4 linked regions of the Oryctolagus cuniculus genome follow. The protein of the gene in region 4 purifies or fractionates together with the protein of the main gene of each other region. This does not show direct contact. Links are inferred from orthologs where the notes say so. Each region holds a gene or a part of one and is shown on either strand. Other genes may lie near its edges.

Region 1 (7,388 bases), on a different chromosome or scaffold from region 4:
CAAATAAATAAAATAAATCTTTAAAAATATTTATTTAGCCGGCGCCGCGGCTCACTAGGCTAATCCTCCGCCTAGCGGTGCCGGCACACCAGGTTCTAGTCCTGGTCGGGGCGCCGGATTCTGTCCCGGTTGCCCCTCTTCCAGGCCAGCCCTCTGCTGTGGCCAGGGAGTGCAGTGGAGGATGGCCCAGGTGCTTGGGCCCTGCACCCCATGGGAGACCAGGAAAAGCACCTGGCTCCTGGCTCCTGCCATCGGATCAGCGCGGTGCGCCGGCCGCAGCGCGCCGGCCGCGGCAGCCATTGGAGGGTGAACCAACGGCAAAGGAAGACCTTTCTCTCTGTCTCTCTCTATCACTGTCCACTCTGCCTGTCAAAAAAAATTTATTTATTTATTTATTTATTTGAGAGGCAGAATTACAGAGGGAGGGAGAGACATAAAGGTCTTCCATCCACTGGTTCACTCCCCAAATGGCTGTAACAACTGCAGCTGGGCTGATCTGAACCCAGGAGCCAGGAGTTTCTTCGGGGTCTCTCTCGTGGGTGCAGGAGCCCAAGCACTTGGGCCATCTTCCATTTCCAGGCCATGAGCAGGGACTTGAAACAGTGCCCATATGGGATGAGGGTGCTGCAGGCCGAAGTTTAACCTACTACACCACAGGACCGGCTCCCCCCACCCCATTTTTTCTTTTTTTTTTTTATTTCCATGGCAACAGTCTCTCTCAGAATGTTGGCGAAGTGTACCAAAGAAAGAGAAAATGGCAGTTGGAGGTCTGTTCTTTTAAAATATTTATTTATTTAGGCCGGTGCTGTGGCTCAATAGGCTAATCCTCTGCCTGGGGCATCGGCACACCAGGTTCTAGTCCCGGTCGGGGCACCGGATTCTGTCCCAGCTGCCCCTCTTCCAGTCCAGCTCTCTGCTGTGGCCTGGGAGTGCAGTGGAGGATGGTCCAAGTGCTTGGGCCCTGCACCCCATGGGAGACCAGGAGAAGCACCTGGCTTCTGGCTTCGGATCAGCGAGGTGCACCGGCCGCAGCGTGCCGGCTGCAGCGGCCTTTGGAGGGTGAACCAACGGTAAAGGAAGACCTTTCTCCCTGTCTCTCTCTCTCACTATCTAACTCTGCCTGTCAATAAATAAATAAATAAAATATTTATTTATTTATTTGAAAGGCAGAATTAGGGAGAGGGAGAGACAGAAAGAGAAAGAGAGCAAGCAAGCTTCCATCTACTGATTCACTCCCCAAATACCCAAAATAGTTGGAGCTGAGCCAGGCCAAAGTCAGGAACTGCATCTGGGTCTTCCACCCAGGTGAGAAGGGCCCAAGCAATTGAGCCATCTTCCACTGCTTTAGCAGGTGCATTAGCAGGGAGCTGGATCAGAAGCAGAGGAGCCGAGACTTGAACTGGTGCTCTTATGGGATACCTGCAAAGCAAGCAGTGGCTTCACCACTGCCCCAGTGTGTTCTTTCATGCCAAGTGCATAGCAGGCTTTTCATTAGTTTGTGTGAATTGTCCTTCTTAGTAAGCACTGGATGCAGCGGGAGAGCTAGGGAAAGGGGCCCTGCTTGTGGCTGCTGGGGTTGGTCCTCAGGTGCACCTGTGTGGGTAAGTGGATATTCCTGCGTGTCCAGTGTCTGGAGAGAAAGTGAAAGTCAGCCTCCTGTCTGCAAGTCCTAATGTGTTTCTCGTTCCACACAAAGAGCTGAGTGTGGGGTCAGCACTGGGGCGCAGCAGATTAATGCTCTGCCTGTGCCGTCCGCATCCCATATGGCCACCGGTTCTAGTCCCGGCTGCTCCTCTTCCAGTCCAGCTCTCTGCTATGGCCTGGGAAAGCAGTAGAAGATGGCCCAAGTCCTTGGGTCCGTGCACCCGTGTAGGAGACCCAGAAGAAGCTCCTGGCTCCTGGCTTTGGTTGTGGCCATTTGGGGAGTGAACCAGCGGATAGAAGACCTCTCTCTCTGCCTCTCCCTCTCAATCTCTGCAACTCTGCCTCTCAAATAAATAAATAGAAAAGAGCTGAGTGTGTGGAATGTCTCTGCTGTACGAATGACAGCCTTTTCCAAACTCTCTGGTCTCAATTTTCACATCCAAGTAGTTCAGTAATATGATGTCCAGGATTTCTGATACAGGACATTGGGGGTAGGGATGGGAGAAGGCGGGCTAGGAGTTGCTAATCGCTGAACCCACTTGCTAAGTACCTGGGTGGTCACTATTCAGTTTTGTTGGAAGTTTTTCATAATAATCCACTTTTTCAGATAAGGAGTGGGGGAAATAATAGTCCCTTCCTCTTTCAAAGAAGCTGTGACAATGACAGTCACAGCCGCGCCGGCACGTTTAAGTCAGGCACTTCTGGGCAGCCGGGCACCCCGCACGGGCCTGGTCCGCTCCTGGGCGCGCGTCCGCAGGCCAATGGCAGCCAGCTGCCTGCAAGTAAGGGAATCCCTGGTCTCTCGGCGAACTCCGCCCCTTTCTCCCCGCCCTCGAAGCCCCGCCCTCCGAGGAAGCGCCGGGCCGGGGCCCAGCAGGTGTGGGGTTAAGGGAGCCCGTCTGGGGCCCCAGGAGCAGAAGCAACTGCAAGAGCGGCGGCTGTGGCGGGCCTGGCCCGGGGCCAGCTGGCGGGGAGCCCCAGGAGGGAGGAGGGGGGAGGAAGAGGGGAAGGAGGAGGAGGAGGAGGAGGAGAGGAGCAGTCAGCAGGCCCGAGGAGGCAGGACTTCCTGGTGTGGGGGTTGTCAACAGCCCCGAAAGAGAAAGACAGACGAGACTGAGAGCAGCCGAGGAGCGGAGACAGGTCCAGCGGGACCACGCGGGAGGAGGTGTGCGAGACCCGCTCGCCGGGACCACCGAGGCCGGCTGCCGCCTGGAGCCGCGGGGGGCTGAGCCGCACCCTCCCACAGCTATCGGGAGACCTCGGGCTTCGGAGGCGGCTCCTGGGCTCCGCCGAGGGGGCGCAGACTCCTTTTCTGGAGCGAAAACTTTCCACGGAGATGCCTCGCAGGGGGAGGTGCGGCCCCCGAACAGGACTGGGCTGCCCCTGACCGCCGCCTGCGTGCCCCGCGCCACCCCGGGGCCAGGAGGCCCCCGGGAAAAGACAGCCCAACACCTTGGGCGCCGGGACCCCCACGGTCAGCTCGGTGGCCGAGACCGAGAGGTAAGGCCCCCGGACTGGGCGTGGCGCGGCGCGGCGCTTGGGGCGCGGGCAGGGCCTGCCCCTGGGATGTGGGAACCGGGGTGCGGGGTGCCTGGAGGAGGCCCAGCAGAGTCCGCCAAGCGGCCTGGAGGTGCCGCCTCACCCTGGTTCACCCAGGACCTGGAGCCGGTGCGCTCAGGACAAACTGGGTCCCCTGAGTTTGAATCCCAGGCCAGAAATGCCCAAGTCTGTGTGCCCCACGCCGTGCTCTCTGGCCTCCCCTGCCTGTCTCTTTGTCTCTGGGTCTCTGGCGATTTCCCCTTCCTCTCCAATTCTGCTCCCCAGAGAGGAAGCCCCGGAGGTGGCCTGCCCACTGCTTTCTCACACACGCGCGCGCACCCGCGCTCTCTCTCTCTTTCCAGTTTGCAAACTCAGCTCTGGAGTTCGGCGGCGGCAGCAGGAAAAACCTGCCCCTGCTCCCCCCTCCCGCCACCTCCCCTACCCTGTTCTGTCATCAGCCGGGCACCCCCAGTTCCCACAAGGCCCTTTGGCCATGTCGGACCCAGATGTTCCCAGGGGCCCTGATGCCCCCGCAATGTGGCCCCCCTGTTCTAGGGGTGCCTGAGCCCCTTCAAAGAGCCCCAGTCCCCCAACCTCAGCCCAGTCCTGAGTTCCGGGGACCATGAGTGGAGGCAAAAAGAAGAGTAGTTTCCAGATCACCAGCGTCACCACGGACTACGAGGGCCCAGGGAGCCCCGGCGGCTCCGATCCCCCTGCCCCACCGGCCCCTGCGGGGCCCCCGCCCCGCCTCCCCAACGGGGAGCCCAACCCCGACCCAGGGGGCAAGAGCACCCCCCGGAATGGCTCCCCACCGCCTGGGGCCCCTGCCTCCCGCTTCCGGGTGGTGAAGCTGCCCCACGGCTTGGGAGAGCCTTATCGCCGAGGTCGTTGGACGTGTGTGGATGTTTACGAGCGAGACCTGGAGCCCCCCAGCTTCGGCCGGCTCCTGGAGGGGATCCGGGGAGCCTCGGGGGGCACTGGGGGTCGATCTCTGGATTCCAGGTTGGAGCTGGCCAGCTTGGGCCTGGGCGCCCCTATCCCACAGCCAGGCCTGTCTCAGGGCCCCACCTCCTGGCTGCGTCCGCCCCCCAGCTCCCCTGGACCTCAGGCCCGCTCCCTCACCGGCGGGCTGGGCCAGCTGTCGGTGCCCGGCAAGGCCAAGGTGGAGACACCCCTCCTGGCGGCCTCCCCACCGCAGCAGCGCCTCCCAGAGCCTGGGACTGGGGATAGCGCCGGCACATCCCTGGCTCCCGTGCCCCTGCCCTCCCTAAGGGTGGAAGTGGAGGCTGGGGGCCCGGCGGCAGGGACCCCTCCAGCGTCCCGAAGGAAAGATGGAGCCCTGCGACTGAGGATGGAGTTGGTTGCTCCAGAGGAGGCTGGACAGGTAAGAGCCAGGTTCCAGGTTGGGGGAGACTCCTGAGGGCCCTGCTCAGGCATCTCAGTCGGAGCCTCACCGCCATGCTCCCCTCCCCCGCCACTGTCATCTGTCTCATCCGTGGCACCTCTTTTCTCTCTCTGCCGTCGCACTTTGCTGTCCTTTGCTTTCTCCCTGGGGCTCCTCTTCCCTGCAAGCTACACCTTCTTTCTCTGTGGCCTTTAATTTGTTGCCTTTGGCTCTTGCCCTGTCTCCATATAGCCTTTAGCTACAATGGTCTGCTCACTTTGGTCACCACCTTCTGTCTTGGGGTCTCACTCCCTCTGGCTCCAGGTAATGAGGGTGGAGGCCCCGGGCTGGGTGACTCGGCCCCTGGTCGAGGAGTTGCCAGGGTTTGGGGCGGGGGGAGGCTCAGGGGGCAAAAGGTGGGATTTCTGCTCTCAACCTCTCCACGCAGCTCCATCCTAAGCGCGGGGTCTTCTCTCTGCCAGTGCCCAGCCCAGGCTCATCTCCACCCTTGCTGCAAGCCATGTTTCTCTGAGGCACTGAGGAACTGGGTGGATGGGGCACTGGACGGGATGGGGGGCTCGCCTCACCCCTGGTGGGGGGGTCTGTCTTGGTTCCTGCCTCTGTCCCCTCTGGGGTTGATAACAAGGGGTGGCCACCGTGGCGTGGGAGAGAGGCGGGAAGCAGCAGAGGAGGAGTTAAGTCCTGTGCGTTCTGCTTCCTGTCTCCAAAAGAGGAACAAGTCTGGGCTGGGGGCAGGATGCCTGGGTCCCTGGGGTGGGGGTGGGCAGCCAGGAATGTGGGGTTGGATGCTTCTGTTCTGCAGGAGAAAATAACACCTTGGACTGCGGGGTGAGGGGGAAGGCCTGGAGGGTGAGGATGAGAATGTTTCCCCCTTCCTGGCCTTGGGCACAAACCACAGTATAAAAATAACCTGAGACTGGATGTCTGGGTCCTGTCAGGACCGGTCAGGACTGGCTCCCCCACCCCCTCCTGGCCTCAAGCTCATGGCTCTCATGACCCCCCCCCCCTTGCTTGAGCCTTTCCCTCAGTTTGGACCCCAGAGAGAAGATGCTGCGCCCCCAACCCCACCCCATCCTTGTCCCCAGCCTCTTGGAACGATTGCAAGCCCCCTTTGCCCTCTCCTTCTGTAAGCTCTGCCTGTGCTTCCCTGGGGTCCGTGGACCCTGCCCCTGGTGCCACAGTGCCCTCTACCCTCTTCCTTCCGCCACGGCCTGATCACTTCCTGTGTGCAGGCGCCTGAGTCCCTATTTCTTTTCTATCTGCAGCCTCCCCCAACCCTTCAGCCTCAGCTGCCTCCCACAGAGGCTGGAGGTGAGGGGGGGGGCAAGGGGGCACCACCTGGGCCCCCTTCCTCTGCTCTGTCCCGCTAAGCAGCCTGAACTCTCTGTTCTTGGCTCTTCCAAGAAACTGGGGCCTCCCGGGGCCTCACAGAGGCGTCTTGTCTTGTTCCTCTCACCCCCGCCCTATTGCAGCCGCCCCCAGCGCCTGTTGGGCTGTGTGGGTCCACGCCCAGGCTCCGCCTCCCCCCTCATCTGCACACCCCTACCCCCCACCCCACCCCAGCCCAAGCAGGGCAGAGAGCAGAAGCGGAGTTTCACCTGGTGGGGCCCAAGGAGTCCCAGAGGAGACCTCCAGTGGGGGTTGGAGGGCTGCTTTCTGAGGATCCATTCATTCTACAAATAGCGCTGAGCAAACTCGTCTTCTCGCAGGGGCGACACAATAAATACTTTAATTTCAGATAATGTTAGGTGCTATAAAAAAAAGTGAAACAGTTCTATGCACTGTGAGTGATGGGGAGATGCTGCTCCGAGGAGGCGACATGTGGGTGGCTCTCGGCAGACAGGTGACAGAGAGCAGCTGCTTTGTGGGTAGCCTCTGCGTGGCGGGCCTGGCTCAGGGGGAACAGGGCTCCTGAGATGCAGACCAGAGCCCCTCTCTGATCGTCTGGGAGCCCCTCACCCCAGTCCTCAGGGTGATGGCCTTCTCCTTGCCTCTGGTGCTTGCCCAAGGTCTTTACCAGGGCTGGAGGAGGGAAGGGCTTTTGGGTCCTTGGAAGAGAAGGGCAGGAGGTGGGAAGGGAAGAAGAAAACGGTGCCAGTTCTGAGGCGGCTGGCTCCTTTCTCTCTCTCAATGTGATGGCTCCCACCTCTCTGCCTCCAGGTGCCCCCACACGACTCTCGTCCCAGCTCCCCGGCCCTCTACTTCTTCCCCGATGCCAGTCTGGTTCACAAGTCTCCAGACCCCTTTGGAGCCGCAGCAGCCCAGAGCCTCAGCCTGGCCCGCTCCATGTTGGCCATCAGTGGGCACCTGGACAGCGATGACGATAGGTAGGTGGGCTCCCCACCAGCACCTGGGACGGCTGCGTGACGCTACCCGAGTTGAAGGGGACCTGTTAAATAGAGACCTAGCCTGGGCATAACCGCTGTGCACACTTGATCTGGGACCCACTCCCTCCTGGTGGAGAGGGCTGGGTGGGACTCCCTGGCTTAGGACTGTCAAGTCAGACTTTTTTTAGAATCTGAAGGGACTCATTGTTGTCAAATTCCAGAGCTCTTGCAGATTTAGAGACCATCTGGCCAACCCAGGGAGCCCACTGGCAAACGTGCCCCAGTCCCATCTCCCTCTGCCCTGCCAACGAGGGGAACGGGACCCCTTCGAGTCCTTCCATGACGCAAGATCCTTGTAGTCTATCCCGACTGCTTCAGGATCCTTGGACTCTGAGGAAAGCCTTGCCCTGCTCTGCCCCGAGGGGCTGTGGCCAGCAGACAGGGCTGGGAACAGCATGGGGGCTGAGCCCTCT
Region 2 (7,652 bases), on a different chromosome or scaffold from region 4:
ATGCCAGCACTGCCAAGTGGAGGCTTAGCCCACTACACCACAGGGCCAGCCCCTTTTCTCATACTCGATTGTCAGACAGGGTGATCCCACCAACACCGAGACGCCTCTTGGTACTCTCAGTACCGCGAGCGTCACCGGCCACCGCCTTTCAAAGGCTACCGTCCAACATAGCAGAACACTCCCAAGGTTCTCTTGCGAGGCCACTCTCAGAGCGGCACGTCAGCCTGAGGAAGCTCACACAGCACAGAGAATGCTGGCAAAACCCTGGACACAACGCAACTGTCCACTAACAGGGGACTGGGTAAACACACGGCCCCAGGCACAGAAAGGAATCCACAAAGGAATGAGGTGGACTGAGTCCTGCCCTGGGAAGAACTGCCCAGCAAAAAACATCAAGCCATAGAATGTGGAACAGGGCCTCTTATTATAAACAAAGCGAGGGGCCGGCGCTGTGGTGTAGCAGGTAAAGCCACCGCCTACAGTGCCAGCATCCCACGTGGGCGCTGGTTCGAGTCCCGGCTCGACTTCCACTTCTGATCCAGCTCCCTGCTGTGGCCTGGGAAGAGCAGTAGAAGATGGCCCAAGTCCTTGGGTCCCTGCACCCATGTGGGAGACCCAGAAGAAGCTCCTGGCTCCTGGCTTCAGATCGGCGCAGCTCCGACTGTTGCGGCCATCTTGGGAGTGAACCAGCAGATGGAAGACCTCTCTCTCTCTCTCTCTGCCTTCCAAATAAAATAAATAAATCATAAATAAATAAACAAAGCGATATTAGTATAGACACAGAGAGGTGTGTATGGAAACGGTGACACCCCAAAGCTGAGTGATTTCTTCCGGGGAGTGCACTACTCCTGCAATTAGGCACAGGTGGTGGCAGCTGCCTGGACATGGGAGGACATGGGATGACATGGGGGACACAGGGGTTACTGCCAAGGGTGGTAGCACCAGCATGAGACCGTAAATACCCTGAAAACTACTGAGGTGCACCCTTGCAGTGGGTGGGTTTTGCGTAGATGAGGTTTGTCTCAACAAAGCTGCTACTTAAAACAACAACAACAAGCCAGAGGGAAAGGTGAGCCCCGCCTCAGGGAGGGGCAGAGGAGGGCAGGGACTGGCCCACTCCCTCCCAGCACTCTCAGCTAACAAGGCCGGCAAGGATCGAGGCGCCCCAAGCTTTCTAGAGACAGAAGGGGGATCCCCACCCCACCCCAGCCAGAGCCAAGCTTCCTGCCGGGGCCACAGCACCCCGCATCCCTCACCTATTACATCCTGGTTTCTGTGGCTCAGGCCACGTGCAGCTAACCCAGTAACGCTCAGAACCCACCTGGGGGCCCAGGCACTTCCACTTTCTCCTCCCAGCCACCTGCCCGAGTCCTACCACTACCCACCCTCCAGACCCCCTCAACAGCCCTCATCCATCACCAAGACGGAAGGAACACAGGGACCAAGGCTTCAGGAAACACGGGAGGATTCAAGGCTGCACTCTGGGGGCTGGCGCCGTGGCGTAGCCGGTAAAGCCGCCATCTGCACGCCGACATCCAGGTTTGAGACCGGGCTTCTCGGCTTCCGATTCAGCTCCCCACTAATGTGCCTGCGTCCCTGCACCAATGTGGGTGAAGCTTCCAACTCCTGGCTTCAGCCTGGCCCAGCTCCGGCCGTTGCAGCCATTTGGAGAGTGAACCAGCACATGGAGGATCTCTCTCTCTCTCTCTCTCTCTCTCTCTCTCTCTCTTCCTCTTTATATGTAACTCAAACAAATAAACAAATCTTAAAAAAAAAAAAAAAAAAAAAAAGGCTGCGCCCTGGCCCCAGACCACCCCCAGAGAAACAGGGCCCAAACCACAGCTACAGCGGTCTCCTCCGGACCCCAAACATGGGTGGATCTCCTTGCCCACTTGGAGCCCCCACCAGAAGGTTAAGGACAGCCCCGGTACCCACAGCACCTGTCTGTGAGGCAGTCCCTGGCCAGCTGCTGGGCTGAGCTTCCTACCCGCCTTATCTCATCAAATCCTCCCCCACAGTGCCTAGCAGAGAGCCACTGTTATTATTCCCATTTTACAGATAAGAAAACCTGGGTTAAGATAGGGCCCAAGGTCACCTTGCCAGCAGGCTGTGTCTGGACCTGGTGTGGGGAGGGGGGGTTCAATAGGGAAATTCGGGATCCCCAGGCCCGCAGAGCCATCCAGGGCACCCATGCTTTGGTTCGCAGCTAGGGAAACCGCACCCCTGCCTGTCTCGCCAGTCTGAGGATATGCAGGCCTCTGGGCCGCCAGGGCCATGGCGCCTTCCTCCACGAAGGCCCCCGCAGGTACCTAGTAGGTAATCAGCTCGCCACCAGCTCCGTGGGGCTGCTGGTGCGGGAACAAGCCCCTGCTTGCCAGGGGCTCCGAAACCCGGGGATGAAAGGTGCCGTGGCAGCAAAACAGCACCATGGGCAGGAGCGCGCCTGACCTCTGCCAGGACTTGCAGGCTGGCATCCACCTGCTCACCTGCTCGCGGCGGGCACAAATGCGGGCCAAGCCGCAGAACCCAAACAGGCCTGGGAGCTCCGGCACCGTGGGAAGGGAGGTTCCCAAGGCTGGCGTCTCCCAGGTGGAGAACCAGGCTCCAGGTATGGAGGGCTCTGGTCTTCTGATTGTCTCCTCTGAAGGCGCCCAGTGCTCCCTGGGCGGGGCGAGAGGGTGCACGGGTGGCTGGGGGTGGCAGAGGCACGCCCGCCCCATTCCCCTCCGACCCAGATCTCCAAAGTTCACTTCCTGGAGACAGGGAGGGCGCTCCCACCTCTTCGTGGCAGGAGCCCCTCAGGTGAGCCTGCACCTGGAATGTGTGGCATCCCAAGAGGGTTATTAATAGCCCCGAAGTGCTTCCAGCAGAGCCAGCAGGTTCCGGGGCACCCCCTCCCACTCAGCCCCGTCCACAGGGCCAGTCCGCTCTCCCAGTTCACACTCCACCTTGTGCGGGCTCAGTGCCCGCCCCTGAGAGACGGCCACGGGGACAGGGCTGGCAGTTCTCAGCCCAGAAGGCGGGCTGGGGAGGAAAAACCCCACAGAAGGCCGCCACACCCCACCCGGGCCGCCACACCCCACCCGGGCCGTCACACCCCACCCGGGCCGGGTGAGGGGCCCCAGACAGCAGGCTGTGAATGGAGGGACTGTTATGGAGCCCCAGGAGTTTGCCACCAACAGGGAGGGGACAGGAAGACTCCGCCCCGGCCCTTCCTCCTCCCAGAGACCAGGCCTTGTCCTCCAAGGAGGCTTTCCAGGACTTAACCCCCAACTGGTGAGAGGCTACCCAGGGGCGGACCCGTTTCTGCCAGATCCCCAGCCCTGGGCCCAGCCCCAGGCCGGGAGCAAAGAGGAACCAAAGGCCCAGGACTGCGGTCACACCAGCACCTTCTCTGAGCCCAGCAGGCCTGGGACCCAGGGACAGGGGGTGAAGGAACACCTGGTCCCTGCTCTCAAGGGTCCCTAATCTCAAGAGAGCGTGGAGAACATGCCCCAGGGACACGGAATCAGTGAGGGCAGACACGCAGGCCAGGGCCCACTGGACAGGGAGAGGCAAGTGCTACCAACAGGAACTGCCTCCGGTCTCCACGGGCCGTGCCCAAACCCCCACTGCCCAGCACCCCATGGATCAGTTCTCCTTCTGCGCCAGGCCCCGTGCTGAGCAAGCGCCAGGAATGAGCTCACTGAAGTCGTCCCCCGACCCACTCATAGGGAAGACATCGCTGATCCCATTTCAGGGAACAGAAAACCAAGGCGCCGGCACGTTAAGAGACTTGTCCGAGATCACACATCTGGGAAACAAATGCCAGGGCTCCACGGGCAGCCGGGAGGGGTCAGCCAGAGCTGCTTCCAGGCAGTCTGAGATCCCACCTCGCCTCCCCAAGGCACTGGGGCAGTGAGGGGGGTGGGACAGGGAAGGAGTCCAGGAGCCTTGCCCAGGAGCCTTGGCGACAGCTGCCCCTCTGAGAAACCTGGGCTGGGCAGGACTGTCTGAAGGAGCACCCTCCTGTGTCTGGGCCAGGGCAGGGGCCCCACCCTCTCCAGTGCACCCCGACTTTCCTAACAGGCCCAGCCCCTGGAAGCCTCAGCCACGTGTACTGGGCCAGGGCAAGTTAGGGACCGAGACAGCTGGGGGGATGGTCAGGACGCGCTGGCTGTGCAGGACTCCAAAGAGGACAGAGGGTGGGCTTGGAATGAGCCTGGGCCGGACATCCGGAGTTGGGGGGGGGGCAGGCGACGACCCCTGCCACAGCTGGACCTGGGGTAGTGGGTTGGGGGGATGTCCTCCGGGGCCGGGTTCTGAGGGCAAGGGGGAACGAGTTCCCTCAAGAGGGGGAAGGAGAGGCTCCGACGCGGGCGGGAAGTGGCGCTCAGATTCGGAGAGAACAAGGTCGGACGCGGGACCCGGTCCCCACCAGCTCCCGTGCCGCCCCAGGCCTCGGTCGAGACCCCCGCCCCGGCGGCGAGCTCGGCGGGCCGCGGTGGGGGCGTGGCCCGGGGCTCGCGGCCGAACCCCGCGTCGCTCACCTGCGATGTGCTGGCGCCGGGCGTCGTCCAGGTGCGTGGACAGCACGTCCCCCATGGCGAGGAAGAGCCGCGGCCCGCTCTGGCCGTTCGCCGCTGCGCGCTCTCAGGCGGACACCGCTGGCGCCATGGAGCCCGGCCACCCCGCTCCCGCCGCTCCCGCCGCCCCGGCTGCGGCCTCCGCTCCGGCTCGGGCCCAGACCCAGCGCCCCGCCCCGCCCCGCCCCACCAGGCCCCGCCCCCGGCCCGGGCACCGCCCCCTCCTGGCCGCGCGCGGGCGGGGCGCAGGGCCCGGGACGCGGGGACCGCCCGGGAGTCGCAGACAAAGGGAAGGTCCCAGAGAGGGAGTCGGGAGAGACGGGCGCAGAGCCCCGCGTCCGGCCCGAGCCCAGCACGAGATGGAGCTGGTGGGGGTATCCGAGAGACCCGGGGGTGCCCCGGGGAGAGCTAGCCTGGGTGTCACCCCTCCCTGCACCAGACGAGAGACTCCCTGCTTCGGAGGACGTGGGGGACAGGCCGTCGCGCAGGAATCCGCGCCCGGCTCCTCCCGCTCTCTCCGCGCCCTGCGCCCTGCCCCCGCCTACCCGCTGCCGCCCGCGCTCAGGAAATCCTTGGCCTTGATCCTACCTGCCCAGGTGTGCCGGCCTGTCTTGCACAATAGTTACGGGGGTGGGGGGTGGGAAGGAAGGACGGGGCGGCGGCGGGGGGGGGGGGTGTGGGGGAGAATGAGGAGGGCTCGGGTCCAAAGGTGCAGGACCCCAGTTGCCAAGCAGACCCGGCGAATGGGCAGTTCAGGGAGTCAGAGCAGATAGTAGTGGCACTTTACAGTTTAGGAGACACCATCTGGAGCAGGCGTGGACTTTGGGTCCTGGCCTGTAGGGCTGGGCACGGCCGGGTCACAGGAGCAGAGGAGAAGTGTTTTCCAGGCTGGCATGGGAGTCAGGTTAACAGCCGACATGCCAGACCCCTGGACGTGAGTTGGGGTGGCAGAAGCTTTGCAGGGGTGCTGAGGCCCACATCTCCTCTCCTGCACCCCAACAGCAGCCCCTTGGTTACTCGGGGTGAGTGGGACCTCACCACTTCTCTGCGCACCCCACCCCGCTCTGGGACGGTTCTTGGCTCTCACCGTGACCTGAGGCAGAAAGTGGTGATCCTGGCACTGGCCAGCACAGACCACCTATGCTTCAGGCCTGCCAGCACCAGGGGAGGGAGCTCTGGCACCAGTTAGCGATGCAGGCACTCACTCCCTTACCACTCACATGATTGACACCTGTCTAGGAGCCACAAGACACCAGGGGTGGACAGGCCAGGAAGTCCACGCTGCCTGCCCTCGAGGGCCCTGGACAAGTGGCCGTGCCTCTTTGAACTCAGTGTCCTCCTCGGTCAGACGAGGGCAGCAGGCATTGCTGGGAGGATTAGATGAGATCGCAGGCACAGGGTGGTCCTCTCGATAAATGAACCTGTCCCTCCACTCTGCGTCGCGGTCCCTGCCCCAGGAGTATAGGGGACCCTCTTGAGGCGGGAGTAGAGGCAAAGCTTCTGACAGCAGATCCTGGAGAGCAGCATTCCTGGGTGTGGGCACAGCGGGCACAGGGCTGGCTTTGAAGAGCAGGAAGCTTTCACAGGGCACCCAGAATGGGCAGAGGCGGGGGGAAAGAGAGAGAGAGAGAGAGAGGTCTTCCATCTGCTGGTTCACTCCCCAGAGGGTACAACGGCCAGAGCTGTACTGATCCAGAGCCAGGAGTTTCTTCTGGGTCTCCCACGCAGGTGCAGGGGCCCAAGCACTTGGGCCATCTTCTACTGCTTTCCCAGGCCACAGCAGAGAGCTGGATCAGAAGTGGAGCAGCTGGGACTCAAACTGCACCCATATGGGATGCCGGCACTGCAGGCAGCAGCTTTACCCGCTACGCCACAGCGCCAGCCCCGGCCATGTCTATGTTACACTTGACTAAATTGCTGCAAGGATTTTTAGAATGATATTCTAGGACAGGTTGGTATAGCAGTGAATCCATCAGTTGGAATGTGCACATCCCATATCGGAGAGCCTGGGTTCAAGTCCTGGTTCTGCTTCTAGCTCTACCTTCTTGCTAATGCTCACCCTGAAAGGTGGCAAGTGATGGCTCAAGGGCTTGGGTCCCTGTCACCCACAAGAGAGAGACCTGAATGGAGTCCCAGGCTCTTGGCTCTGGCCTGATTCAGCCTGGCTGTTGCAGGCATTTGGGGCGTGAACCAGTGGTTGGAAGATTTCACTGTCCGTCTGCCTATCTGTCTCTTTCCCCTCCCCATCTCTTTGCCTTCCAAATAAATAAAAATTTACATAATATACATTGCATTGGCTGCACACAGGAACCCATACTGAGGCTCTAGGATAGGGCGTGTCAGGCGAGGGAGATGAGTCGGTGCGGCCCCAGGCCACAGCGCTGGGGCTGACTTCCTGGTGGGTTGGTAAATTGCGTGTCCAGGACTGACATTTATGACTTTTTTTCTGGGAAGACTGTAAAGTTATTTAAAAGTTCTCAGCTCTCTACTACGTGCTAATAAATCAGGCCAGCTATGGTCTTTGGGTGGGAGGGGAGTGAAGGGTTTTTTGCTTGTCTTATTTTTAGCAAAGAAAACCAAGCACAGCCATCAGCGCCACGAAGGGTTCCAGGCAGACAGGGGAGGGTTTCTGGGCCGAGGACGTGGGGAGCGCTCGCCCTGCTCGAGGCCACTGTGATGCGTGCTTTTCACATATTTATGGGTCCTTTGTGGTTTTCTTTTAATTCACACCCTCTGCCTGCTTGGTTATTGGAATGTGTTGTTTTTTTTTTCTTATTAATTTGTAAGAATTCTTTCTACAGCAAGAATAGGCCAGCTGGGCAAGGCAAAGGATTTGGAGGGAGTCTCTGCTGCTTCTCTGGGGTCCCCACCCACCAGGCTCTCAGGCCCCCTTGCAGGCCCACAGCAGGGTTGGGGAGGAGGGGAGGCGGGGCCCTATCGGTTCACCAGGCTCACCTGCCGGGCCTGCCCCTCCTGAACAGGGATGCCACCTACAGCCCCTGAGTCATCAGTCCTTGGTCAGGAAGTGGCTTCTGCCCAGCGGCCTCCACCCTCGGCACATCTGGAACCAGGGACTCAAAGGTGAAG
Region 3 (7,500 bases), on a different chromosome or scaffold from region 4:
ATACAAAAAAGCAAATGAATGACTAACTTAAGGATAGAATAGTGGTCTACTTTAGGGAGAGCAGAGATAAGATTCAGAAAGGAGGCAAAATTTCTCAATCCTGATGACTGATAATACAAAATTTACTTTAACTGCTAAATGTACATATATGCTCCTATATTTTTCAATACAATGATCATACATTTCACCAATTTTTTTTTTTGGACAGGCAGAGTGGACAGTGAGAGAGAGAGACAGAAAGAAAGGTCTCCCTTTGCCATTGGTTCACCCTCCAATGGCTGCCACGGCTGGCGCATGGCGCTGATCCGAAGCCAGGAGCCAGGTGCTTCTCCTGGTCTCCCATGCAAGTAACAGGGCCCAAGCACTTGGGCCATCCTCCACTGCACTCCCAGGCCACAGCAGAGAGCTGGCCTGGAAGAGGGGCAACCGGGACAGAATCTGGTGCCCCGACCGGGACTAGAACCCAGTGTGCCGGTGCCGCAAGACGGAGGATTAGCCTAGTGAGCCGTGGCATCAGCCACATTTCACCATTTCTTAAAAGGCATACACTCATCAGTTGTCAAAAAAGAACCATCTGGGGCCAGCACCGAGGCTCACTTGGTTAATCCTCTGCCTGCGGCGCCAGCATCCCACATGGGCGCTGGTTCTAGTCCCGGTTGCTCCTCTTCCAGTCCAGTCTCTGCTGTGGTCCGGGAAGGCAGTGGAGGATGGCCCAAGTGCTTGGGCGCCTGCACCCACGTGGGAGACCAGGAAAAGCTCCTGGCTTGGATTGGCGTAGCTCCGGCCGTAGCGGCCATTTGGGGGGTGAACCAACAGAAGGAAGAACTTTCTCTCTGTAGTCCCTCTCTCTAACTCTGTCAAATTAAAAAAAAAAAAAAAAAGAAAGAAAGAAAACCATCTGTTGGGGCGGCGCCATGGCTCATTTGGTTAATCCCTGCCTGTGGCGCCGGCATCACATATGGGCGCCGGTTCTAGTCCCAGTTGCTCCTCTTCCAGTCCAGCTCTCTGCTGTGGCCTGGGAAGGCAGTGGAGGATGGCCCAAGTGTTTGGGCCCCTGCACCCACATGGGAGACCAGGAAGAAGCACCTAGTGCCGGCCGTGGCGGCCATTTGGGGAGTGAACCAACAGAAAGAAGACCTTTCTGTCTGTCTCTGTCTATAACTGTACCTGTCAAATTAAAAAAAAAAAAAAAATCTGCATCCAACACACAACCTGGAGTTCAGCTTCAACTGGTTTAACAGAAAACATCAGCTGTCCAAAAATGCAATTCATTAAATAATTTTATGTCATTCCCTTTTTTCTGTTAAAAACAGAAATCCAAAAATAGAAAATTGTGAGGGATATTCCATAGCTTCATATATATGTTAAATAATACCATATTAAACAGAAAACAAAAGTAAAATAGCAAAGATTTTTCAGGCAAGGAAGTAATTATGTTAGAGATGTATTTATAATGTTGGACTAAGAGGAAGGAATACAACTGTGCTGGAAAAATGAATACCTATTTACAATGTAATCTTTGTGAGTTACCAATTTCCACAAACAAATGATTAGAAGTTTAGAAGTAGTTTTCTACTGCATACTACTACATAAAATGTTAAAGTTTGATAACTTTTCCCCACATAGAAAGAAGTCAGTAACTTTATAATTTCTAGGGAATCTTGAAAAGCAAAAATTTAGAGGCAAAGTTTTTAGGCCCAAATAGGTCAGATAAGTATAAAGTTTAAGTTTTCTTTTAAAAAAATTTTTTACACTCTATTCCTTAGAAGCCTGGAGTAATGAAATGAAAAAAGATGCAAGGAACTCAGATTCTTGAAATATCATCCTAAAACACAGTCAGTAAGCCCACAGAAATTATCCCTGAAACAATTAGTGTTTAACCACATGAAGTTGTTAATTTTCAGAAAACTTTCCATTTTTACCATAGACATTAACTTTGCAGAAACGGTCACTACAGAATAAACCACAGAAGTACTGATAGCTCACACAACCTGCCCCTGCCATGGGAAACTAAGGAAATGGTTTCCTGTTTAGTACCTTTTCCTGTCCCATCCCATATTTTACTTCTATGAATTCCAAATGTTAACAGTAACGTCTACCACTTATTAAGCCCTTTCTGTGTGACTTATATTTATTATCTCCTTTAATCCTAACATACTGAGTGGCAGGCCTTACTGATGAGGACAGTCAGGCATAGAACTTGTCAGTAACCTGCCCAAGGTCACACACTACTATGGAGAGAGGGAGCCGAGAAATGTTGACTCAAGAGCCACTGCCCTTAATACTCAGCTGTTTATATTTGATAAAACAACATATTTGCACCATGAAAACATGAAATCACCTGCTGCTTTCAAACTACAGGATGCCAGATGCCTTGAGGATTTGTTTTGCCTTTCCCAGCTAACTGCATACTCACGGAACGTTAATAGGTTAAGGGGTCTAAACAAACATTTAGGAAAACTTGGAACTTCACAGCCAAGAAAACAAAGGGGCAGAGAAGCTAAGTGACAGCCAACACTAACACACAACTCGACTCCCAGAAGAGATCTTCGCTCTGCACTAAAAGCCCTTCCTACACACATCTCACACAGTAAGCTCTTGCTGAAACCATACCCAGCCGTCCACCCAAACACTGAGGCCCACTTTGCAGACATGAACTTCAATAGCATTCACATGAGAACAATCTTGCACTTCAACAGAGATATGCTATGTGCTAAGGCAATGGTTAAACCCAGATGAACATCATAATGCTTTCGTTACAGAAATACAAACACACTAACTATAATGCGACAATTATGAACAATGTGTCTTGAAAGCACATAGAGAGGAGAGCGCATAAGGAACAAGATGCATTTGTGGCAGAGTAAAGTCAAAGGTAATGCTGCTTACAAAGCAAGGAAAATGCTGCCACTTCTACCAATTGATGTTAAAGTAAAAATATATATATAAATGAAGTCAGAAGATCTGAGTTCAAGTCAAAACTTGACTTGTATGAATAACTTGTTAATCTCAGTGTCCTCAGATGTGAAAGGTGGCTACTACTACTGACCTGTCCACCTCACCAGATTTTTGGAAAAGTCAATTACCTGAAAGTACTTAACAAACGGCAAACTTCCTATAAAAAAAAAACCAAGTTACTTATTTATGTTTTCACTTCTAGGCAACACTGTTGGTCCTTCCCCTAAACTGTGTCTCATAAAAGCCTTACCCTTCAAGATGAAAATATTCCAATGACATCACTCAAATGCTCCTTAGCAGACAGTAAACGGTTCACATGAATGCCTTCAGGTTAAAATGCCAAATCTTTCTATAGAAATAATATGTATACATACAATGCTTTATCCTTAGGCTTTGGTATTGACATCTAGTCAAAGCTTACTATAATTATATTTAGAAACTAGCACCAGATGCAAGTTTTCTCTTCTGGAAATTTTCTAAGAGATTCCATTCCATTTTATGCGATGTTGTCAAGCAACCACTCAAGGACAGACCAAGTAGCTATCACCTGGCTCTGATCCCAGGAGATGGGCTATATACTAGCTATAGCTACAGCCTAATGTATGCCCTGGACCCTAAAAAGAGAAATGCAAACAGGAACCAAACAAAAATCCACTAAAAAAGGTAACGAGTGTCCCACTGTAAGATCATTGGAGGCCCATGGCCAGACCCCTCCTGTAAATTACGGAACTCTCATTTCCTTGGAGTTTGACAGAGAAGCAGGAATAACCCGGTCCCCTCGATAAACTCCATCCAAGCCCCATTCTGTTGAATCCTTAAGCCCCCGGTCTAAGCGACTCCTTGGATGGTCGGCTAAAGAAAGTTCCAGCGCCTGGCCGCGAAGTCAAAAAGGAGGCAGGAAAGGGTCGCCGCAGCGTGAAGCCCCCGTGCCCCTGGGCCAGCGGCTGCTCTATCTCCCAGGCCACTTCCCGTCGTCTCCCTCTTACCTTGTACACTTTCCCGAAGGCTCCGTCGCCCAGCTCGCCTATGATTTCCCAAAACTCCTCGGGGTTCAGGTCCCTCTTCACGTGCTCGTACTGCTTCTTCTTCTTCTCGCTCCCCAACTTGAAGATCTTACGGAAATTGAAGAAGGACATTTTTCCTCCCCCACAGAGTTCCTTGCACTTAAGGACTAGAAACAACAATAAAAGGCAAAGTTTCTCCGCCTCCTTCTCCGCGCGAGCCCGGCGGACGGGCGGCGGCGCGGGGTCTCCGGCTCCCGCGGCTCCGGCCGGGCCGTCCCCGGAGAGGGCGGGGCAGCGCCCGGGGCTCCGGCCCGCGGCGAGGGGGGGCGCCCTGCGCCGAGCCCGGCTCGCCCGCCCGCCCGCCGCGCGATGGGGCGCCTGGCCCCCGGCCGGCCCGCGGGGGCTGCACCTGTGCGGACGCCCGTCCACCCGGTCCCGGCCCGGCCCGACGGCGCCCGGCGGGTCTGCACGCCCGCAGCCGCGGCGGCTTAGGCCCGTGTCACGACGAGTCTCCAGGGGCGGCGGCCACTCGGGGCGAGGGAAGCGGCCGGCAGCCGCTGAGACGAGCGCGCGAGAGGCCAAGCTCCCCGGCCGCGGGCAGCGAGCCTCGGGCCTCCTTCGCAGCCGTCTCTATTCCTGCGGCGCGAGGCCCGCGCGTCCCCTCAGCTCTGGGGCGCCGCCACCTCCGCCTCGCTCCCTCCCCAGCCCACACAGCCGCGGCCTGGAGCGCGCGCCGACGCCGACGCCGACTCCGCAGCGTGCCCGCGCGTTCCCCCGCCGCGCGCCCGCGCAGGGGCGGCCCCTTGAGCCCCGCGCACGCGCGTTGGCCCGCGCAGGCTGGCGGCGCCGAAGTGTTGGTGAGCCGAGTGCGGCGGGCCCTGGTTCCCTGCGGTCCCCCGAGGCGGGCCCGGCGCTGGCCCTGCGAACCCCGAATCCTCGTCAGCCTCTGGCTTTGTTCGTAGTGGCCCCCGCGTTGCGACGCTGGCGGATGTTGCCTCGGTGCTGGATGTGGGAAAAACTGTCAAGAATGAAAGCTCAGGCTTCCTGAGTGGAGCCGGGAAGTGGGCTTTGTTTTTAGCTCTTAAATTGATTCCAGAGGATAGTGAGAGGAGAGTGTGGGTGGCGCTGTGAGCCTTGGCTTGGGAGCCGGAGCCCTGTGGCCTGGAGCAGGTGACGCCCCCTTGCCTCAGTTTCCTCACGGCGCCTGCCTGGAGGTGGCAGCGAGGGCTCAGTGAGGCACCGGCACAAGCTCGTGGTCTCACAGCTGACACGGACCTAGAACAGTTGCTCGAGCCCACTGCTCCAGGGATGTCTGGGGGGGCTCTCCGCCGCCCGCCGGATGGCACGTCCAGCCTGGGACGGTGCTGCCCGGCTGGGGCCGTACCGGCATCGTCTGCAATCGGCCAGAAGGTGACCTGCCCTCCTCGCCTCCGGTCGCACTTTCGGGGCAGTGGCTGCTTGTTCAGCAAGGTGACCGAGTCGCGGGAGACGTCCTGGCGTGGGAGAGGCAGACGGGTCTGGCTGATGCGTGAGTGGAGGTATCCAGCAAGGCAGGGTTGCTGCTGTTTATATAATACCCACCTACCACCCCTCCCCGACCATTTTACCCTCCAGCCCCTACATGTTACAGCAAAACCCCTCTTCCAGGAGGAAGCTTAATATGATTCGGTTTCTCATGATCCTTCTACTTTTTAAGTTTTTATTAAGGTATAATTGATATACAATAGGCTGTACATTTGTGCACACACGTGAAAGCAATATTAATCTGCTTTAATTGGTATCATTTATGAAGAAAATAGAGAAATGCAAAAAAGAAATCAAATACAAGAGTAGTGGAATTCCACCGTCCAGAGGTAGCCATTGGAAAGAGTTCATTAAATTTCCAAACAGGTTTTTTTGGCCATGCTTTTTTTTTTTACATGAATGAGATTACTTTTCAGATTCCAGTACAATTAGTAATTATTCTCTCTTGCATCATGAGATATTTATAATCTTTATTTTAAATAAAACATTAATAAATATCTTTGCATACAAAATCCTTTTATACATGCTTGATTATTTCCTTGAGATAAATCACCAGAAAGAGATTTGGGCCAAAGGGTGTATGTCTGTTTCCTTTTTTGTTCTTTTCAAAATAGAAAAGACTACTATGTTCTCATGTTGAAAGATTGTGTATCAGGACTGGTGCTGTGGCACAACAGGTTAAGCCATCATTTGCAGCACCAGCACCCCATATGGGCACTGCTTTGAGACCCAATTATTCCATTTCTGATCAAGCTTCTTGCTAATGTGCCCAGGAAAGCAGCGGAAAATGACTCAAGTCCTTGGGTCCCAGCACCCACAAGGGAAACCCAGATGACATTCCTGGTTCCTGACTTCAGCCTGGCCCAGCCCTGGTCATTGGGCCATTTGGGGAGTGAACCAGCAGATGGGAGATCTTTCTCCTCGACTTTCAAATAAATGGATAAATCTTAAAAAAAAAAAAAAAAAAAGATTGTGTATCATTGTTGTTAATAATTCAGATACAGGAATTACAAACTCAGAAACTGTAATTTTCCTCTCCTGCCTTGCCCCCACTCAAATTCACCCCCAACCTAACCATTGTTAATAGTCAGGCCTGTACAATGGACATGTTTATGACATTGATGATTTCATGAATGAATACCATTTCCAAACGCATCAAACTGTATGCAAGAAATATAGACAGCTGTCTGTATATCAACCCTGCTTAGAGTTGTCATTAAGTCACTAGCAGTAGCCAGCATTATAGGGCAGTGGTTAAGCTACCACCTGGGATATCAGGACCAGTCTCCTGTATGAGTGCCAGCTCAAATCCAAGTTCCTCCACTTCTGATCTAGCTCCCTGCTACTGTGCCCAGAGAAAGCAGTGGAAGATGATGCAAGTACCTGGACCCCTGCCACCTACCTGGGAGAACAGGATGGAGTTCCTGGCTGCTGGCTCCCAGCTGCAGCCTGGCTCAGCCATAGCTATTGAAGCTGATGTGAGTGAATCAGTGGATGGAAGATCTCTCTCTCTCTCTCTTTCTCTGTAACTCTGCCTTTCAAAATAAATAAATCTTATTTTTAAAAAGTCACTAGCAAGGCACAGTTAAATTGATACCATTAATAAATAGTCTCAGCTTTTTTCATATATTATGGAAACAAATGAATCTCAGAAAAGGTTCCCCTTTTAATAAAATAATAAATTTGGCATCATTCTTAGGCATTTAAAATTAACAGAAAAGTGATCTCTGTTAAACAAAGGAGTGGGAATAAGAGAGGGAGGAGATATATAGGTCGGCACATGCTCACTCAGACTTACCTCCAATGGTGGAACTAGAAATGTGCCAGGGGATTTCAACTCAATCTTACCAAGGAGGCAGGTACCAATGCCAGCGCACTTGGTAAAGTGATAAGTATAAATACACAACCGATCAAAAAGATAGGGTAAGTGTTGAAGAGATTTCACAAATAAGACCAGTGTAAGCAAATAATGAAGGATAGAATTAAAAGGGAGAGAATGATCCTGCGGGGGAAG
Region 4 (7,530 bases):
AGTCAGAGGAAGATGGCCCGAGTCCTTGGGGCCCTGCCACCCACGTCGGGGATTCAGATGGAGCTCCTGGCTCCTGGCTGCTCCCCGCTTTGGCCTGGGTTGCAGCCATGTGGGAAGTGAACAGACGATCTCTAACTGCCTTTCAACTAAGTAAATAAATAAACCTTTAAAATAAAAAAGTCAAAATGTTGGTCCCATGACTTTTTTTTTTTTTTTTTTTTTGACAGGCAGAATGGACAGTGAGAGAGAGAGAGACAGAGAGAAAGGTCTTCCTTCCATTGGCTCACCCCCCAAATGGCCACTACAGCCAGTGCACTGCACCGATCCAAAGCCAGGAGCCAGGTGCTTCTCCTGGTCTCCCATGGAGTGCAGGGCCCAAGCACCTGGGCCATCCTCCACTGCACTCCCTGGACACAGCAGAGAGCTGGCCTGGAAGAGGGGCAACCGGGACAGAATCCGGCACCTCGACCGGGACTAGAACCCGGTGTGCCAGCGCCACAAGGTGGAGGATTAGCCTAGTGAGCAGCGGCGCCAGCCTGGTCCCATGACTTTTTAGCGGTGACCTTGGGAAAACTTCTGAAACGCCCTCAGGCCTTATTTGTTCTCCTCTGTGAAATGGGGATTGCATGAGTAGCCAAGTCAGGGCCCAGACAAATCAGGGCACCTGTTTTTATGAACACTTTTGTTTCTGGTAACCCAGGCTCACGCAGTCCCAAGGAAGAAACACAGTACAGTTGAATGGGAGGCACCTGCTTACTGGCCCACCCTGTGGACGCCAAGAACCCCAGAGCTAATTCTCCTTGGGGTTATCTGGCCAACCCCGCGTGTAACGGAGTGCAGGAGAGAAAACAAGACCAGGGTAGAGGCCCCCCAACCAGTCCCAGGCGCCAGAAGAAGACGTAGAGAATGTCTGGGATGCATTCTCCAAGGCCGGGGACTCCCTCAGACCTGGGGCCAGGGACACAGCCCTGCTTGCGCAGCCACGCGCCACACTTCCTCCCAGGACGGCTGGGCTGAGTCAGTGAGCCACAGCGGGGCAGTCACGCAGACCATGCGCTGAGCACCTCACCCCAAGTGCTTAGGAAGAGAAGTGCTGGCCGGGAGGGCACAGCACTGGGACCCAGCAGGTTAACGCAGGCGTCCCAGACAAGCAGGTCCCATCTGGCTCCCTGCAAATGCGCCTGGGAAAGCAGCAGGGGATGGGCCAAGTGTTGGGCCCCTGTACCCACGTGGGAGACCCGGATGGAGCTCCTGGTTCCTGGCTTTGGCCTGGTCCAGCCCTGGCCGTTGGGGCCATTTGGGGAGTGAAGCAGTGGACAAAAGATCACTCTCCTCTCTCTCTCTCTCTTCTCTCTGTAACTCTCCATTTCAAGTAAATAATGTAAAATTTTTAAGTGTTTGAGATTTGGATTCTTTTGTGGGTTTTGGGATATCTGCGTGTACACAGCAAGGAAACTTAGGGATGGGACCCGCGTGTGAACACCAAATTCGCTTATACAGGTGTTCTTCCAAAAGTTTGGGGGGGGGGCTGGGTTTAAAAGATAAGCTTATTTTGGTGCAAAAATATTTTGAAATCGGGGCCGGTGCCGTGGCTCACTTGGTTAATCCTCTGCCTGCGGCGCCAGCATCCCATATGGGTGCCGGGTTGTAGTCCTGGTTGCCCCTCTTCCAGTCCAGCTCTCTGCTGTGGCCTGGGAGGGCAATGGAGGATGGCCCAAGTGCTTGGGCCCTGCACTTGGCTCCTGGCTTCGGATCGGCGCAGCGCTCCTGGCGCATAGTGACCATTTGGGGGTGAACCAACGGAAGGAAGACCTTTCTCTCTGTCTCTCTCTCTCACTAACTCTACCTGTCAAATAAAAAAAAAATATTTTGAAATCCATGCCCGGTTTTTCCCTAACACGTATCCCTGTGACGTTCTGGGAGACTCCTGGGTACACACAGGCCCTGAAGGTGACTTCATGCATGGTTTTTAGCGGAACTTCCCACTGGTGGCATCGCGTCACTGCTCGGAAAAGTTTCGGATTCTGGAGTGTTTTGAATCTGGAAAGTCAGATCATGGACATTCCGGCTGCGCCTGGCATCCAAGAGATGCAACCTCAGAACTAGGGCTTAGGACAGTGCCTTTTGGAAAAAAAAATAATAATAACAAAACCCTTGAGTTATTTTCTCTTTGACAACTTCCTCCACGGAGAAACAAAAACGAAACCAAACCCTGCACGATAACAAGGTTGTGGGCACTAAAGAGAACAAGGACCAGGGTCAGGGCAGCCAGCAGCCTGTCTTCGCTGTCCTGGAAGGAACTGCTGACCAGCGCTTGGCCGTGGTCACGGTCACTGCCTTCTGCCCCTACCTTTGACCCCAGGGAAACCAGGGTCACTGTCCTGGTGGTCAGATGTGTGGCCAGGGCCCTCGATCCTCCCCGGCTCCCCCTTGGCGTCTCACGGGGATCACGCCCTGGGGCGCGCCCCTCCGTGCCAAGCCCTCCCGCCTCCCGGCTCACCTCCCCGAAGTGCATGTAGATGTACTCGCGGGCGCGCTGGTGCAGCTCGGCGCAGCCGATCTGCTCGGCGAAGTTGGCGATGCCGATGGCGTTGCTGGGGTCCAGCTGCTGCACCAGGAAGTCGCTGCAGGCGCGGACGACGCTGTCGATCTGGTACATGACGGCACCGTTCATGACGTGCAGCACGCACTTCTCGCCCATGGAGATGGACGCCGTGTAGGCGAACTCAATGAGCCGCTCCATGACCTGGGGGTGGATGCCCTCGATGGACACCACCTCCATGCCCTGCTCCCGCAGCCCGTTGGTGAACATGGCCTTGAAGACCGGGCTGGACGAGGCCAGCACCACCTTGTGGGCCATGAACTGGGCGGCCGGCGTGTCCTCGTACTTGACCTGCAGCGTGACGTCACACAGCTGCTGGCTGAGCCGCAGCTCATTCATGATCCCGAAGGCCTGCTTGGTGTGGTCCTCCAGCGTGTAGCTGAAGGTGCGGTTGCCATGCTGGGAGGGCGTCACCTCGGCCTTGCACTCGGTGGAGGCGAACATCATGGCGTCCCCCGCCCCCTCGGGGCGCTGTGACTGCTGGGGCAGGAATCGGCTGCAGGCCTCCGCCCCGCTAGGCTCGGCTTCCGGCTGCATGAGGTTCCAAGTGACAAGGGATCACGCCGCCACGGACACTCAGGGGCCTGGAGGAGGGAGAGCACAGGGCTGGGGGCAGGGCAGGGGTCAGGCCAGCACCTGCCAGGCCCTCTTTCGTAAGACAGAGCCATTCCCAAAGCAAACCTGGTGAGGTGGGGTCCGGTGGAGCTCCCCACCTTCTCCTGGCCGTGCCCACCCAGGGGTCCACCCAGATCCTGCCCCCACCCCCAAAACCACACAGGACCCCTCAACAGCTGGCAGGATAGTCAGCTCTTGTCCACCCACTTCTCTCCAGCTCACTCCATCCAGCCATCCAGCTACCTCCTCCCTTCCCCAGTCATGTCAAGTTCATTCTTTCGCTCAGCCCTGCAACATCTATTGAGCGCCTGCTGTGTCCCAGGCACTGTGGTGTCCTGGCCCACACCCCTCTGGGAAGGTGAGGTTGGCGCTGGGGCGCAGGGAGCAGCAAGGTCCGGTCAGGAGCTGAGAGACTCACAGAGGCTGAGGGCCAGGGCTTGAGTCACGTTTTGAAATCCGCGGCACCTGCAAGGCGCTCCCAAGCTCTGGGGCTCAGCCCAACGTCGCCTCGTTCTCGCCCCCCCCCCAAACTCCACCGCGGAGCTTCAAGGGGGCAGGGAGCCCCCTGCAGGCCAGCGCTGGGGCCACCCTCTCCTGTGTGTCCCCGCGTCCCGCCCGCGGCCTGGCACTGCGCAGGAGCCAGTGGCTGGCCGGCTGCCCACGCCACGGTGCCTGCCAGAGCCGCCCTCCTCCACCCTGCCCGGCGCGCCGCTCGGCCCCCTCTCCCCATGCGAGGCCCCGGGCTGGCCTCTGGATCTTTGGCCAATCGGTCAACGGTGCCCCTGGGCACCAAGCACTTCCCCCCCGCCGCGAAGCGACAAGTGGGGGACTGCGCATGCCCCGCCTGAGCCGCCACCAAGGCCTTGGAGAAGCGAGGAAGTGACCCCGCCGCGGCCTCTTGGCAGCCAAGGCCGCAGCGCGCACCCAGCCGTCGCCAACGCCCCGGGATCCCCGGGCTTTCGTCTGCGTGCGCTCCCCCCCTGCGTCTCACTCCCGGCTTCCGTGCCTCTCCGGCCGCCCCGGCAGTGGCGCCGTCCAACAAAACGATCGGACCCCGGCCGCGCCCTCCCGGGGCCTCCGGGAACTCGGAGGCGGCCCCAGGGCCCCGCGCTCCCATTCCCGCGGCCCCCGGCCATGGTCGCCGGGGCGCCCGAGGCCCGCGGCGCCCGCAGCCTGGGCACAGGCCGCCTCACTCACCCCGCCATGGTCGCGCTGCGGCTCCGCCTCCGCCGCCGGAGCCCGGGCGCCTCCATCGCTGCGCGCCGGGGGGAGGCGCGGAGCGCGCGTAGGTCACCATGACTAAGCAGAGCGCGGCGCCGGCCATGTCAGAATAAAAGTCCGCCACCCCCCCACCCCACGCTCGGTGCGCCGCGGCTCCTGGCCCCGGGCGGCGTGGACAGGCCCCAGGCCGCGCCCCCAACCCCCGCCCGCGGTCGCCGGGTTGCGCAGCCCCGGCGCAGCAGCGACCACAGCGCCAGCCACGGCGGGGCGGGGGATCGCGGCTCCGTTCGGCCGCGTGGGGCGTCGGAGCCCCGAGTTCGAGGCCCCGTTCCGCGCCCCGGGATTCGCCGCCACCCCTGCCGGGGTTCACTCACCTCCGTCCCACGGGGTGGGGAGGCACGGGGCACGATGGTGCCACCCGCGCGCCACGCTTCCGGGAAGCCCGAGGCGGGGTGGTGGGTGGGGAGCCGCGGCTCTGCGCGGGGTGGCTTCGGCCCTAACTTTGCTACTGGGGACCCGAGGGCGCCCCCGCCGCCTATGGGGGGGCCTCGGCTCCGGGGCGGCGTGGCCAGCGGGGTCGCAGACGTCGGGTGGGGGGTGGCCTCCGGACTCCCGGGAAGGAGGCGGGGAGAAGGCGCGGAGGGCGCGGCGGGGAAGGAGCTGCGATTCCCCGCCTCTTTCCCCGCAGGTGCCTTCGCGAGGGACCCGGCGTCCCGCAAGGGTGCAAGGCCGGCGGGGCGGGCAGGTCTCGCACCCCTCTCGCACCGTCCCTTCCATCTGGGCAGGTTTCGTCCCTGGGGCTGCTGTGCGCGACACCTGTTCTTCTTATCCACACAGTGCATGCCCGCTGGAGCCACCTGCCTAGCTGGGTTCCTGTTGTCTTTATTTTTCAGTTATGCATGGAACCCACCTGCGGGGATTCGAACCCCCGACCCGCCTGCTGCTAACTCTGCGCCCACAGAACCTTAGTTTCTTCCACGTTCCGTGATGGCGAGGACAAAAGCGCTATTGCTAATTTTTCTCGGCACGGTTGCTCTTGATGACATGAAGTTAACTTTTCAACAGACGCATTTCAAGTTTGAAAAGTGGACAGGCCGAGGAGATGTTTGTCTAAGAACAGGGTTGCTGGAGTCTCCGACGTGAAATCTGGGGGCTTTTGATGTTCGGGCTCTGGGTCTGGGGTTGAACCGGGCTGGGGTGGAGCGCTCCCCACACTGGGCTGTGTGAAGCTGCAGTTCCGGGAAGCTCCCGAGGGGGGCGCTCCAGCCGTGACTGTAACCCACAGCCTCTGACATCTCTCCAAACCAAACCTGCAGGCCCCGTGGGCCAGCCGTGCTGCCTGTAGAGATGTACCCAAGAGACATTCACAAGCGTGCAAAAAAGTGTTATGTGCACAGTCTTACTGCAATATGAGGTCTGTTGTGGCAAAGAATTGTAGCAACCTGCGTGATGCTCCGTGGGCTTGGTACGAAGTGGCAGGGGCTGGTGTTGGGGCACGTGGAAGTAAGCGCCATCTGGCACATCGGCAACCCATATCAGAGTGCCTGCGCTTCCAACCCACCTTCCTGCGACCAGTGTGGGAAGGCTGCAGGCGTGGCCCAAGGACTGGAGCCCCTGCCACCCACGGGAGAGACAAGGATGGAGTTCCTGACTCCTGGCTTCAGCCTGGCCCAGCGTGGATGTTGCGTCTGGAGAGTGACCCACATTAAGATGCCCGTGTCCACACTGCTGCACGTGGCTCCCCCTCCTCTTCCTCGTCCTCCTCCTCTTCTTCTTAAGATTTATTTATTTATTTGACGGCTGGTGCCGCGGCTCACTAGGCTAATCCTCCGCCTTGCGGCGCCGGCACACGGGGTTCTAGTCCCGGTCGGGGCGCCGGATTCTGTCCCGGTTGCTCCTCTTCCAGGCCAGCTCTCTGCTGTGGCCCGGGAGTGCAGTGGAGGATGGCCCAAGTGCTTGGGCCCTGTACCCCATGGGAGACCAGGAGAAGCACCTGGCTCCTGGCTTCAGATCAGCACAGCGCCGGCCGCAGCAGCCATTGGAGGGTGAACCAACGGCAAAGGAAGACCTTTCTCTCTGTCTCTCTCTCTCTCTCTCACTGTCCACTCTGCCTGTCAAAAAAAAAAAAAAAAAAAAAAAGATTGAAAAGATTGATTTATTTATTTGAAAGCCAGAGTAACAGAGAGACAGAAGTAGAGATCTTTCATCTGCTGGTTCATTCCCCAGATGGCGCCAACGGCCAGGGTCGAGCCAGGTCAAAGCCAGGAGCTTCATCCAGGTCTCCCATGTGGGTGGCAGGGGCCCAAGTACCTGGGCTGTCATCTGCTGCCTCCCAGGCCATCAGCAGGGAGCTGGAGTGGAAGTGGAGCAGCTGGGACTTGAACCGGTGCCACAGGGGATGCCAGCGTTGGCTCTGCCCCCTACCCCACAACGCCGGCCCCGTGGCTCCATCTTTGACCCCAGCTTCCTGCCAGTGTGGACCTTGGGAGACAGGAACTGAGTTCCTCCCGGCTTCCAGCTTCGGCATGGCCGGGTCCCAGCCGTTGTGGGCACTTGGGGAGTGAACCAGAGCATGGACGGTCTCTCTCCCTCTCTCTCCCTCTCTCTCTCTCTCCCTCTCTCTCCCATCCTCTCTCTCTCCCATCCTCTCTCTGCCTCTCAAACAAACAGATAAACATTTTAAAATACACAAAGTGGCATCGCGACAGACACCAGAGAGCTCGCTCCGCCTCGTGAGGGCGCAGTAGGAAGGCAGACGCCAGCCAGCCAAGCAGAGGGCCCTGACCGGAACACAGCCATGCCGGCACCCTGATCCGGGCCCATCCGGCTCCCAGATCCGAGAGGAATACATCTCTGTGGTCAAGCCACCCAGGTATGACATCTGTCTTGGCAAACCAAGCCGACCAGGGCGGGAACACAGTGCAGACGTGTGGCTGGGGGACAGTCCCCCGAGAGACGCTGAAGAGGAGTGAGCAAAGCGGAGGGCGCGGGTGAAGAAGACAGCAGGTGCATTTACATCTCGGCAGATTCAGCCACAGAACAGTTCTGGAAGTTTCTCTGGGAACCCCAACACTGATGTCCATTCAAAAGGG

What was found.
Region 1: the proteins of KEAP1 (region 4) and TSC22D4 purify together in Homo sapiens (affinity purification with mass spectrometry; 4 studies listed by BioGRID and IntAct, counting the BioPlex papers as one, with this or other methods). This does not show direct contact. The link is inferred for Oryctolagus cuniculus from reciprocal best matches to the Homo sapiens genes KEAP1 and TSC22D4.
Region 2: the proteins of KEAP1 (region 4) and NIBAN2 purify together in Homo sapiens (affinity purification with mass spectrometry; 3 studies listed by BioGRID and IntAct, with this or other methods). This does not show direct contact. The link is inferred for Oryctolagus cuniculus from reciprocal best matches to the Homo sapiens genes KEAP1 and NIBAN2.
Region 3: the proteins of KEAP1 (region 4) and SLK purify together in Homo sapiens (affinity purification with western blotting; 3 studies listed by BioGRID and IntAct, with this or other methods). This does not show direct contact. The link is inferred for Oryctolagus cuniculus from reciprocal best matches to the Homo sapiens genes KEAP1 and SLK.

Annotation. Positions count from the first base shown.
Region 1 is NC_091450.1:42,684,227-42,691,614, reverse strand, and holds the start of TSC22D4 (TSC22 domain family protein 4), read left to right. Parts: upstream 1-2,668; 5' UTR 2,669-3,144; intron 3,145-3,545; 5' UTR 3,546-3,805; coding exon 3,806-4,567; intron 4,568-6,748; coding exon 6,749-6,915; intron 6,916-7,388.
Region 2 is NC_091432.1:231,053,976-231,061,627, forward strand, and holds the start of NIBAN2 (protein Niban 2), read right to left. Parts: upstream 4,721-7,652; 5' UTR 4,585-4,720; coding exon 4,530-4,584; intron 1-4,529. UniProt on the Homo sapiens protein: May play a role in apoptosis suppression. May promote melanoma cell invasion in vitro.
Region 3 is NC_091446.1:26,085,805-26,093,304, forward strand, and holds the start of SLK (STE20-like serine/threonine-protein kinase), read right to left. Parts: upstream 4,721-7,500; 5' UTR 4,095-4,720; coding exon 3,945-4,094; intron 1-3,944. UniProt on the Homo sapiens protein: Mediates apoptosis and actin stress fiber dissolution.
Region 4 is NC_091447.1:66,949,669-66,957,198, reverse strand, and holds the start of KEAP1 (kelch-like ECH-associated protein 1), read right to left. Parts: upstream 5,054-7,530; 5' UTR 4,813-5,053; intron 4,635-4,812; exon of another isoform or gene 4,415-4,634; intron 4,162-4,414; exon of another isoform or gene 3,636-4,161; intron 3,209-3,635; exon of another isoform or gene 3,187-3,208; 5' UTR 3,140-3,186; coding exon 2,501-3,139; intron 1-2,500. UniProt on the Homo sapiens protein: Substrate-specific adapter of a BCR (BTB-CUL3-RBX1) E3 ubiquitin ligase complex that regulates the response to oxidative stress by targeting NFE2L2/NRF2 for ubiquitination.